2 linked regions of the Ovis aries genome follow. The protein of the gene in region 2 purifies or fractionates together with the protein of the main gene of each other region. This does not show direct contact. Links are inferred from orthologs where the notes say so. Each region holds a gene or a part of one and is shown on either strand. Other genes may lie near its edges. The genes, in order: cytochrome c oxidase subunit 6B1 and cytochrome b-c1 complex subunit 7.

What was found.
Region 1: the proteins of cytochrome b-c1 complex subunit 7 (region 2) and cytochrome c oxidase subunit 6B1 purify together in Homo sapiens (affinity purification with mass spectrometry; 3 studies listed by BioGRID and IntAct, counting the BioPlex papers as one, with this or other methods). This does not show direct contact. The link is inferred for Ovis aries from reciprocal best matches to the Homo sapiens genes UQCRB and COX6B1.

Annotation. Positions count from the first base shown.
Region 1 is NC_056067.1:45,681,572-45,686,055, reverse strand, and holds the start of cytochrome c oxidase subunit 6B1, read right to left. Parts: upstream 3,007-4,484; 5' UTR 2,935-3,006; intron 1,380-2,934; 5' UTR 1,367-1,379; coding exon 1,261-1,366; intron 1-1,260. UniProt on the Homo sapiens protein: Component of the cytochrome c oxidase, the last enzyme in the mitochondrial electron transport chain which drives oxidative phosphorylation.
Region 2 is NC_056062.1:80,894,311-80,898,863, forward strand, and holds the start of cytochrome b-c1 complex subunit 7, read left to right. Parts: upstream 1-1,507; 5' UTR 1,508-1,520; coding exon 1,521-1,539; intron 1,540-4,290; coding exon 4,291-4,362; intron 4,363-4,553. UniProt on the Homo sapiens protein: Component of the ubiquinol-cytochrome c oxidoreductase, a multisubunit transmembrane complex that is part of the mitochondrial electron transport chain which drives oxidative phosphorylation.

The sequences.
Region 1 (4,484 bases), on a different chromosome or scaffold from region 2:
TCAGCCCAGACCAAGAGCTGGAACATATTTCTGATCAAAACTCACAGAAATACTTTTTACTTCACAACCAGTTACACGAATCCCCCACACTCCCAAGTTTCACAAAGAAAGTATATCCTTACAAGTGTAGTACTAAAAAGGGCTAGACACACCACACTAAGCTTATTTTGCAATCCATAAAGTACTACTGTCTGGGACTTCCCTGGTGTTAGGAATCCACCTTCCATTCATTACAGGGGACCTGGGTTCATGCCCCGGTGGAGGAACTAAGATCCCACAGGGTAACGAAGCCTAGCCTGTGCACCACAAAGGAGACCCGGAGTAGCCAAGAAAAAAAAGAAAAAGAACTACTGTTCAACTTGGAACTTCTGAGTCAGGAATAACAGGGCAACCTGAGAGGTGTGTGTAGGGATTATGGAAGTCCTGAACCAGGACAAGGGAAGGGCAAGATGGTCTTGATGCTAAGATGCTGGCATCCAGGAGAGGAGAAAGGAGGGGGATAATCTGGTTTTTAATAGTAGGAAATTAATTCAAAGATTATTCCAAGTATTACACTCCTGGGCACACTCCCTAAGAGAGAAAGCATTCACAAAGACATCAAATTACATCAATCATAGCAGCATCATTCATATGAGCCCCAAACTGGAAACCACACCAGTGTTCATGAATGAAATGTTGGAAAACTGCACACAATAAAAATGAGAAAAATATATGCCACAGCATGGAAGAATCTTCATAACTATTGAATGAAGAAATCCAAGCATAAGACAACACACAGTATTTCTAAAGTTCACAAAGAGGCAGACCTGAAAGTGGTGATAAAACCAAAATATGACTGCCCTAGGTCTGTGGGGTTACAACTCTGGTGGGGAGAGCAGAGTGTTGCTTTCAAGAGACGGCATGCAGCAGACAGGGGAGCTCAGGGGACTGGCAGTATCCCATTTTCTATCCAGATTATAATCACATGGAGGATTCAATTTAGAGTTATTGATTTAGCTGTACATTATGGTTTATGTACTTCCTATAAGCATGTTACATTCCATACAGATAGACATATACACATCTTGGGGGGGGAAATGACTATGGAATCCAAAGTTTGTGACCTTAGGTCAAATCTTGAATACAGGAGGTGATGGGTGGCATGGGCCCCGTGAAGTAGGATGTTCAGAATTAAAGAGAAGAGGCGATGAGGAGGTAAGAGGTAAGTGTGGGATCAGGGGAAGGTCAACATTGCCCGCCTCCTCCCCAAGTCCTGCTCACCCAGGTAGTTCTGCCAGCAGTTCCTGGTCTGGTTCTGGTTGGGGAAGCGGCTGTCAAAAGGAGCAGTCTGGTAGTTCTTGATTTTGGTCTGGATGTCTTCTGCCATAGTGTCAGCACTCCTGGAGGGAAACAGAGTGGATTGTGGCAGAGGTCCTGGGGGCCTGGACAGGGGGCTGTCAGCCCACCCAGGCCCAGTGGAGACCTGACAGAGAAGAATGGGCTGGGTGTGAACAAGCCAATACCCCCTCCCTTTCAACATACAGATAGAGGTGAAGGGCTGGGCAAGAACACATTAGTTATGGAAGTCACAGCAGGATGTGTCGGGGTAGACAACTGCTCGGTAAAAAAAAAAACAGGCCAAAATAACACTAGTTGATATTCACTGAGTGCTTATTATAGGCAAGGAAGCTTTACTCCTAAAGCTACTCTAAAAGACAGGAACTATTACTATCACTGCTTCACAGACAAGAGACAGGGTGTTTAAGCAACTTCCCAAGGTCATACAGCACACATGGAGTGGAGGTGCACTCCCACCACTAACATAACCTACACTGCAAAGGTTCTTAATCTCTATTGGTGCCATGAAGTACTCAGGAGTCTAATGAACCCTTTCTCCAAATATGTTTCAGGGCATTTAAAAATGGCACAGGATCACAAAGAAAACCAATTACATGTAGCTGAGGATTTATGAACTACCACAATTTCAAAATAATCACGCCTGAATAGGGTCATGCTGTGAAATCTGCAAACATAATGGGATATATGATATGATGACCTGTCATTTTCACTGCTGATAAAGTCACAGATGATGCCAAATACTACCGCTACTGCCTCCATTCCCAAGCGAAGGAAGAGAGTTCAATGAGAAACTGGCAAAAATACAGACGTAAATTTCCCTCCATTCACGTACTAGCATCCCATGAGTTCCATCCATTCTGCGGGCCTAGGGATAAAAACCTGTCCCATAATCTTTTATGAGGTGACAAACGGTTTTCATTAGGAAATCTGACACCGCCTCTATTCCAGATTATTCGAGGAGTCGTGGTATTACATATAAGTTAACCAGACCAGTAATAAATTCAAGTGACCCAAGGTAGTGGTAAGGATTTGGGGCACCGGAGTAGTGTCTTTCCGGGAGCAGAGGATGTAGAACACTAGAGGCGGGGACAGACTCGGTCGGAAGAGTTGTTTTGAAAGCCATCTCCACCTGATTTCGGGAGTAAGGATGGACTGGGGATGACGCTGCAGCCCCTCGAACGTGCAAGGGGCAGGGGGTGAGGGTGGAGAGTCACCAAGAAGCCAGGCCAGCCAAGCCTCGGGGGTCAGAGACCGGGGAGAGAAACGCCTGCGGCCTGGTGATTAAGAGCAATGCAGTCCTAATGATTTCAAATCCTGATCGCTAGCTAAACTGCGTAGTATCTAAGCCTCAGTTGCCTCCTAAAAGAGATAATCACAGGCCCTATCTCAGAGAGTTGGAGGGAAGCTTAAATGAATCAATATAAATCGCTTTGAAAGTTCTAGACATCCGAGAAGAACCAAATAATCGTCAGATTGAAACGACCCCAGGGCTCCGGGAGGTCAGCCACCGCAGGCTGGAAACCTCATTTCATTTTCTAGTAGGGATCCTCAGTCCTCCAAGATGGGGTTCCAGGGTCCCAAGCCCTCAACACTCACCTAAAGATGCCCCTGAAGTCGCTGGAAGCTCAATGTGACCCTCAGCAAAGACGCCAGTACCGGACCGGAAGCGGAAAAAAGGTCGGCCGGAAGCGGGACGGAGCAACGCACAGAAGAGTCTTCCGCACGGCCAGAGCGCCGTCCCTGAAGCAGTTCGGGCCACGCCCATATTGCAAATTCCAACCTCCTATTGGGCCGAATGCCTGTTCATCCTCATTCTGGGCCCAATCGTAACCTTGCGTGGCACTTGTTAGGTACCTTTCCGAGCTGTTGCAAGCTGTGGGCTCCGTTCCAAGGTATTGACCCGGCCTGGTCAGCTCTCTGTCTTTAATAGAGAAAGGGGTTCTGGTTCCTGGAGTTGGCTGTTGAGTGGTCCTGCGGAAAATAGTCCAGCAGAAATGCTCTTATTTGTGCAAGAATTATTTATTGAATATTTTACCCAGTGCCAGGTGCTTCTATTGGTGGCTCGGAGGTTAAAGCGTCTGCCTCCAGTGCGGGAGACCCGGGTTCGATCCCTGGGTCAGGATGATCCCCTGGAGAAGGAAATGGTAACCCACTCCAGTATTCTTGCCTGGAGAATCCCATGGACGGAGAAGCCTGGTAGGCTACAGTCCGCGGGGTTGCAAGGAGTCGGACACGACTGAGCGACTTCACTTCAAGCATAGTTGAACTAAACACAAAAATCTCTGTGACTATTATGGGGCCAATTGTTAGTATGAAAGTGAAAGTGGCTCAGTCGTGTCCAACTCTTTGCGACCCCATGGACTTTCCATGGAATTCTCTAGGCCAGAATACTGGAGTGGGTAGCCTTTCCCTTCTCCAGGGGATCTTCCTGACCCAGGAATCGACTGTTGTCTCCTGCATTGCAGGCGGATTCTTTACCAACTGAGCTATCAGGGAATCCCAATTGGTAGTTTCAGTTCAGTTCAGTCGCTCCGTCGTGTCCGACTCTTTGCGACCCCATGAATCGCAGCACGCCAGGCCTCCCTGTCCATCACCAACTCCCGGAGTTCACTCAAACTCACGTCCATCGAGTCGGTGATGCGATCCAGCCATCTCATCCTCTGTTGTCCCTTTCTCCTCCTGCCCCCAATCCCTCCCAGCATCAGAGTCTTTTCCAGTGAGTCAACCCTTCTCATGAGGTGGCCAAAGTACTGGAGTTTCAGCTTCAGCATCATTCCTTCCAAAGAACACCCAGGACCGATCTCCTTTAGAATGGATTGGTTGGATCTCTTTGCAGTCCAAGGGACTCTCAAGAGTCTTCTCCAACACCACAGTTCAAAAGCATCAATTCTTCGGTGCTCAGCTTTCTTCACAGTCCAACTCTCACACCCATACATGACTACTGGAAAAACCATAGCCTTGACTAGAAGGACCTTTGTTGGCAAAGTAATATCTCTGCTTTTCAATATGCTATCTAGGTTGGTCATAACCCTCCTTCCAAGGAGTAAGCATCTTTTAATTTCATGGCTGCAATCACTGTCTGCCATGATTTTAGTGCCCCCCAAAATAAAGTCTGACACTGTTTCCACTGTTTCCCCATCTATTTG
Region 2 (4,553 bases):
AAGCCCCAGGAAAAGAGCTCTCAACTGAAACTGACCATTCTGGTGCCTTCATCTTATGCTTCTAACTGGAAAGAACTGTAAGAAAGTAAATTTGTTTTTTAAGCTACCCAGTCTATGATTTGTTACCATACACTGAGCAGCCCAAGACAGTATTGGTGCAGAAGTTCATCAGTAACTCAGTAAGCATCAAACATCGTAAACAAACCCGACTGTTTTGTCTCTAGGGTATTTTGTTGTTGTTGTTGTTTTAATACTTTTAAATCTCTTTAATACACCTGGAGTTTATTTTGATAAAAGGTGTAAAGAGATGGTCTGACTTGTCCCCTGGGCCTGTCTCACCCACAAATTAACCAACTATTCTGTTCTGCAACCTTAAGTAAAATTCTTCTACCTCAACAATTTGTGATCCTGCTGTCCCTAGTTTTTTACACTTTAGACTTAAGTTGGACTGAAACCTTTAAAATGTACTTTTACCTTAAAATTGCATTAAAATTCTGCTACAGTTCAAATTTAGTATTAAATTGTTCTTCTCAACAAGACTATCACTGAAATGGCTTGATGTAGAACTTCACCTGGAGAAACTGAAGGTGAGAGAGGGTTAGTTTCCCCTGGGTCAGTGGTGTAGCATATGGCCCTAGGATCGCGGAGTGCCAAAGTTGTATCTTTGGGGCTTCCCTGGTGGCTCAGTGGTAGAGAATCTGGCTGCCAATGCAGGAGACACAGGTTCGATCCCTGGGTCAAGAAAATCCTGTGGAGAAGGAAATGGCAACCCATTCCAGTATTCTTGCCTGGGAACTTCCAGGCACAGAGGAGCCTGACTGGGCTTTAGCCCATGGGGTTGCAAAAGAGTCAGGATTTAGCAACTGAACGACATTTTATCTAGAGTCTCAGATTCTGGAAGGTGAATCTGGATTCCTCCTAGTTTAAGTGCCCTTAGACAATTTACGCAACCTTTCAGAGCTTCAGTTTCCTCTTCTCTAAAATGGGTACAATCACCGTATTTATCTTATAGGTTTAGAATGAAATTAAAATAAGTCCATAAAACGCTTAGCGTGTTGCTTGACACAAAGGGCGCAGTTATTACTGCCCAACCTCTCAGAGATCGTCACTAACAGAAGCCAGGCTAAAGATCTGGTGTTCTAATTCCTTGCCTGCGTACGTGCTAAATCGCTTCAGTCTTGTCCGACTCTTTGCGATCCTATGGACCTCTGTCCATGGGATTCTTTAAGCGAGAATACTGGAGCAGGTTGCCATTTCCTTCTCTAGTTCTAATTCCTCGCCTAATGTTTTTTCCCACCTTGTCGCAGGGAACGTGTCGCGGTTCCACGCCTACGAGATTAGCATAATCGTGACCGACAGGTGTACGTCCTCAGAGGCCAAAGGCTGGCCGCCAGAACTGCGCCTGCGCGAGCGTCTCCCCGCCCTACGCGCCGCACGACGTGACGCAACGCGCCTGCGCCCTGGGCCCTGCTCGACCTCTAGGACTTACCCAGGAGGCAACGCTTCTGTGTCAGGTCAACATGGCGGGCCGGCCAGCTGGTAAGTCACGGGCGGCCTGCCTGGCGGGCATCGCTGCGCTGAACCTTTTATACTTGCAGCAACTTGCTCCTCTCCCTGTGCTCGGTCTAAAAGGGCAGGTTTATGGCGGGAGGGAAGGAGGCGGCTCCAGCCCACCTTGGGCCCACCCCCATTCCGTCTCCAGGGCCGGCTGTTGGTGAAGTTGTCCGCGGTGGCCCCCATAGCCCTGGCGCTCCGGATGCTCGAGCTCTGAGCCCTTCTCCTCTCGACCTTAGAAGAAGTTCAAGGGCACCAGGAGATAGTGGCTCTCAACCGAAGTGAACCGAGCGTTTACTGTGAGCCAGGCGCTGTCGTGTGCGTTAGCTAGGTCCGTTCTGTCAGCGCGAGGAGGACAGTGTCAGTTTTCCTTGTAGGCGGTAAAATAACTGAGGCGAAGTGGCCGGAGGAAACAGGATTGGAAGCCTCGCTGAACCTCTCTCGCGCTTCTCAAACGGAATTTAGAGGCAGCTGAGTGAGTGAGGGTTACGGCGAAGCTTCAGTTTAATAACCTTGGCTTATCTGGAACATCCACTTGGTCTTTGGATTTGGAGACATTTGCATCTATTCTAGGTATTGGAACAGATGTGTTTATTATGGAATAGAACGCAGATATTACTGGAATATTTAAACAACGTGAAAAAATACAGTCCTCTCCCCGCTCCTTCCCCACCCCCCCTTTTTTGTCAGTCCCTAACCCGCCTGCCAGTGCAGGAGACGCGGGTTGGAACCCCGGGTGGGGAAAGATCCTGTGGAGTAGGAAATGGCAACCCTCTTCAGTATTGCCTGAAAAATTTCATAGACAGTGGAGGCTGATGGGCTACAGTCCATGGGGTCGCAGAGTCGCAGGCGAGTGAACACACACATACCTCCTAGCTTTTTTAAAAAACGTTGTTCCCTATTTCGGTACCCCCAACAGTTGTGAAGCTATTAGGAAACACCAGATTGCCAGAACAATTCGTTAACCTAAATGACATTGAGCTTTTGGGGAGTGGCGGAGACATTTAAAAATTCATTATTTCCTTAACTAGACAACTACTGAAGACATTGTGCTTCAGTGCTGTGTTTGCAAACTACATAGACCTGGCCTCAGCTCCATCACTGGCTGCCTCTGATCTTGGATGGGATAATTCATGTAATACTTATTGCTCTTTTGCAAGGACTTGCGGGTTGTAAGTAACTCAGGCATGGGAGTAAAACAAATAGAATAGTGCCTGGCACACAGTAAGTGTTCAGTGGATATTAAACATTATTACCATCACTGGTAAATATGTTTTCAAGTAATTCTCTCCTACAAATGTGTCTGTAGATTGTTGACGATTTGTTGTTATTTTAGAAGCAACATTATACACCTGGTGCTTAATTTCCAAAGAGAGTTACCAAAGCTGTGATGTCTAAGAGGTTGAATCAAAAGAGAGTTTGTTTTCCTTCCTTGGTTAGGGACTATCCCTAAGACAAAATTTTAAAAGAAAATTTAAACTTTCCATACCTCCCTCTCTGTACCACATCTCTCCTGTAAACATCAGACACTGTCATGTTGCCTTTAACTCCTACTGGGTAACCCATCAAGCTCAGTTCTGTTTCGGAAAGAGTTTTAACATTACCTGTTTCTCCTCATACGCTTTGAAATATTCATTCCCTCCAAGGAAAGTTAGCTGCTGGGGAAGAGGGAAATGTGCTTTTTTTACTAGTCCATATGGGATCAAAACCCTCCCAGAAATACATACATTTTTAAAGAGAGTAGCCAAGTGAAATAAAAGTAATGTAAAATAAAAGTTTTGGAAGATGGGGGTCATTTAATCTGCTAGTGTATCCTGAAATCTCATCTTTTCATACAACTCCAGCTCCCTTGAAAAGTTATTAAAAGAGTTATTTCCTGTAACCTGTTTCTGAAATTGCAAATGATGGAGTTTCTTTTCCGTCCCCCACTCCTTTAATTCTAACAGCAGCAAGGGGACATGATGGAATGGGATGCTTGACTTTGAAAAGCTGGAGTGGCAGTACAGTTGGCCCTCTGTATCCACTGGTTCCACACTGGAGAATTCAGCCAACCTCCTGATGGAAAATATTTTGAAGAAAAAATTTCACAAAGTTCAAAAAAAACAAAACTTGAACTTGCTGCTCTCAGCCATCTATTTATATAGCATTTATTTTGTATTTACTCCTATTTACATCGCTCTTACATTGTATTAAGGTGGCAGTGGTAGTAAAGAATCCCTCTGGAGACTCAAGAGATGTGGGTTTGATCCCTGGGTTGGGAAGATTGCCTGGAGGAGGAAATGGCAAACCCCTCCAGTATTCTTTCCTGGAAAATCTGAGGGACAGAGGAGCCTGGCGGGCTACAATCCATATAGGGTTGCAAAGAGTCATACACAACTGAGCAACTAAGCACAGCCCAGAGAAAATTTAAAATAGGAAAACATGCTTGGATTATATGCAAACACTGTACTGTTTTATATGGGAGACTTGAGCCTCTTGGAGTTTGGTATCTGAGGGGGATCCTGAAATCAGTCCCTTGCAGATAGTGAGGGACTGTAATCATACCTATAGGTCTTTCAGGTGTTTGAGTTTATCCTTTTTCCTTACTGTCCAGTTTTTACCTGCAGTCACTTTTGTTGATAGACAAGGTAAGCAGTTTTTACCTACAATATATAGAGTATATGCTTTTAAAAGAAATTCCTTCCTGTGTTTGCATAGGAAGTAGGATTATTAGCAATTAATAGTCTGACTTATCAGTTTCAGCATCAAGCAAGTGGCTGGAGGGTATTCGAAAATGGTATTACAACGCTGCCGGGTTCAATAAACTGGGTGAGTATTTGTGCTTCTTATTTTGTTTTCTTCTTCTTCTGAGTATAGTGCTTTTGTAGGAGTTAGTATGGATCCTCAGAATACATGAACTATTCGTACCTGTGTACCTTAAATTTTAAAATTAAGTCATTTTATTGTTAAATCCATTTCCTTTTTATTATTGAGAAGAGAGGGATGGAATTGTCCCAAAT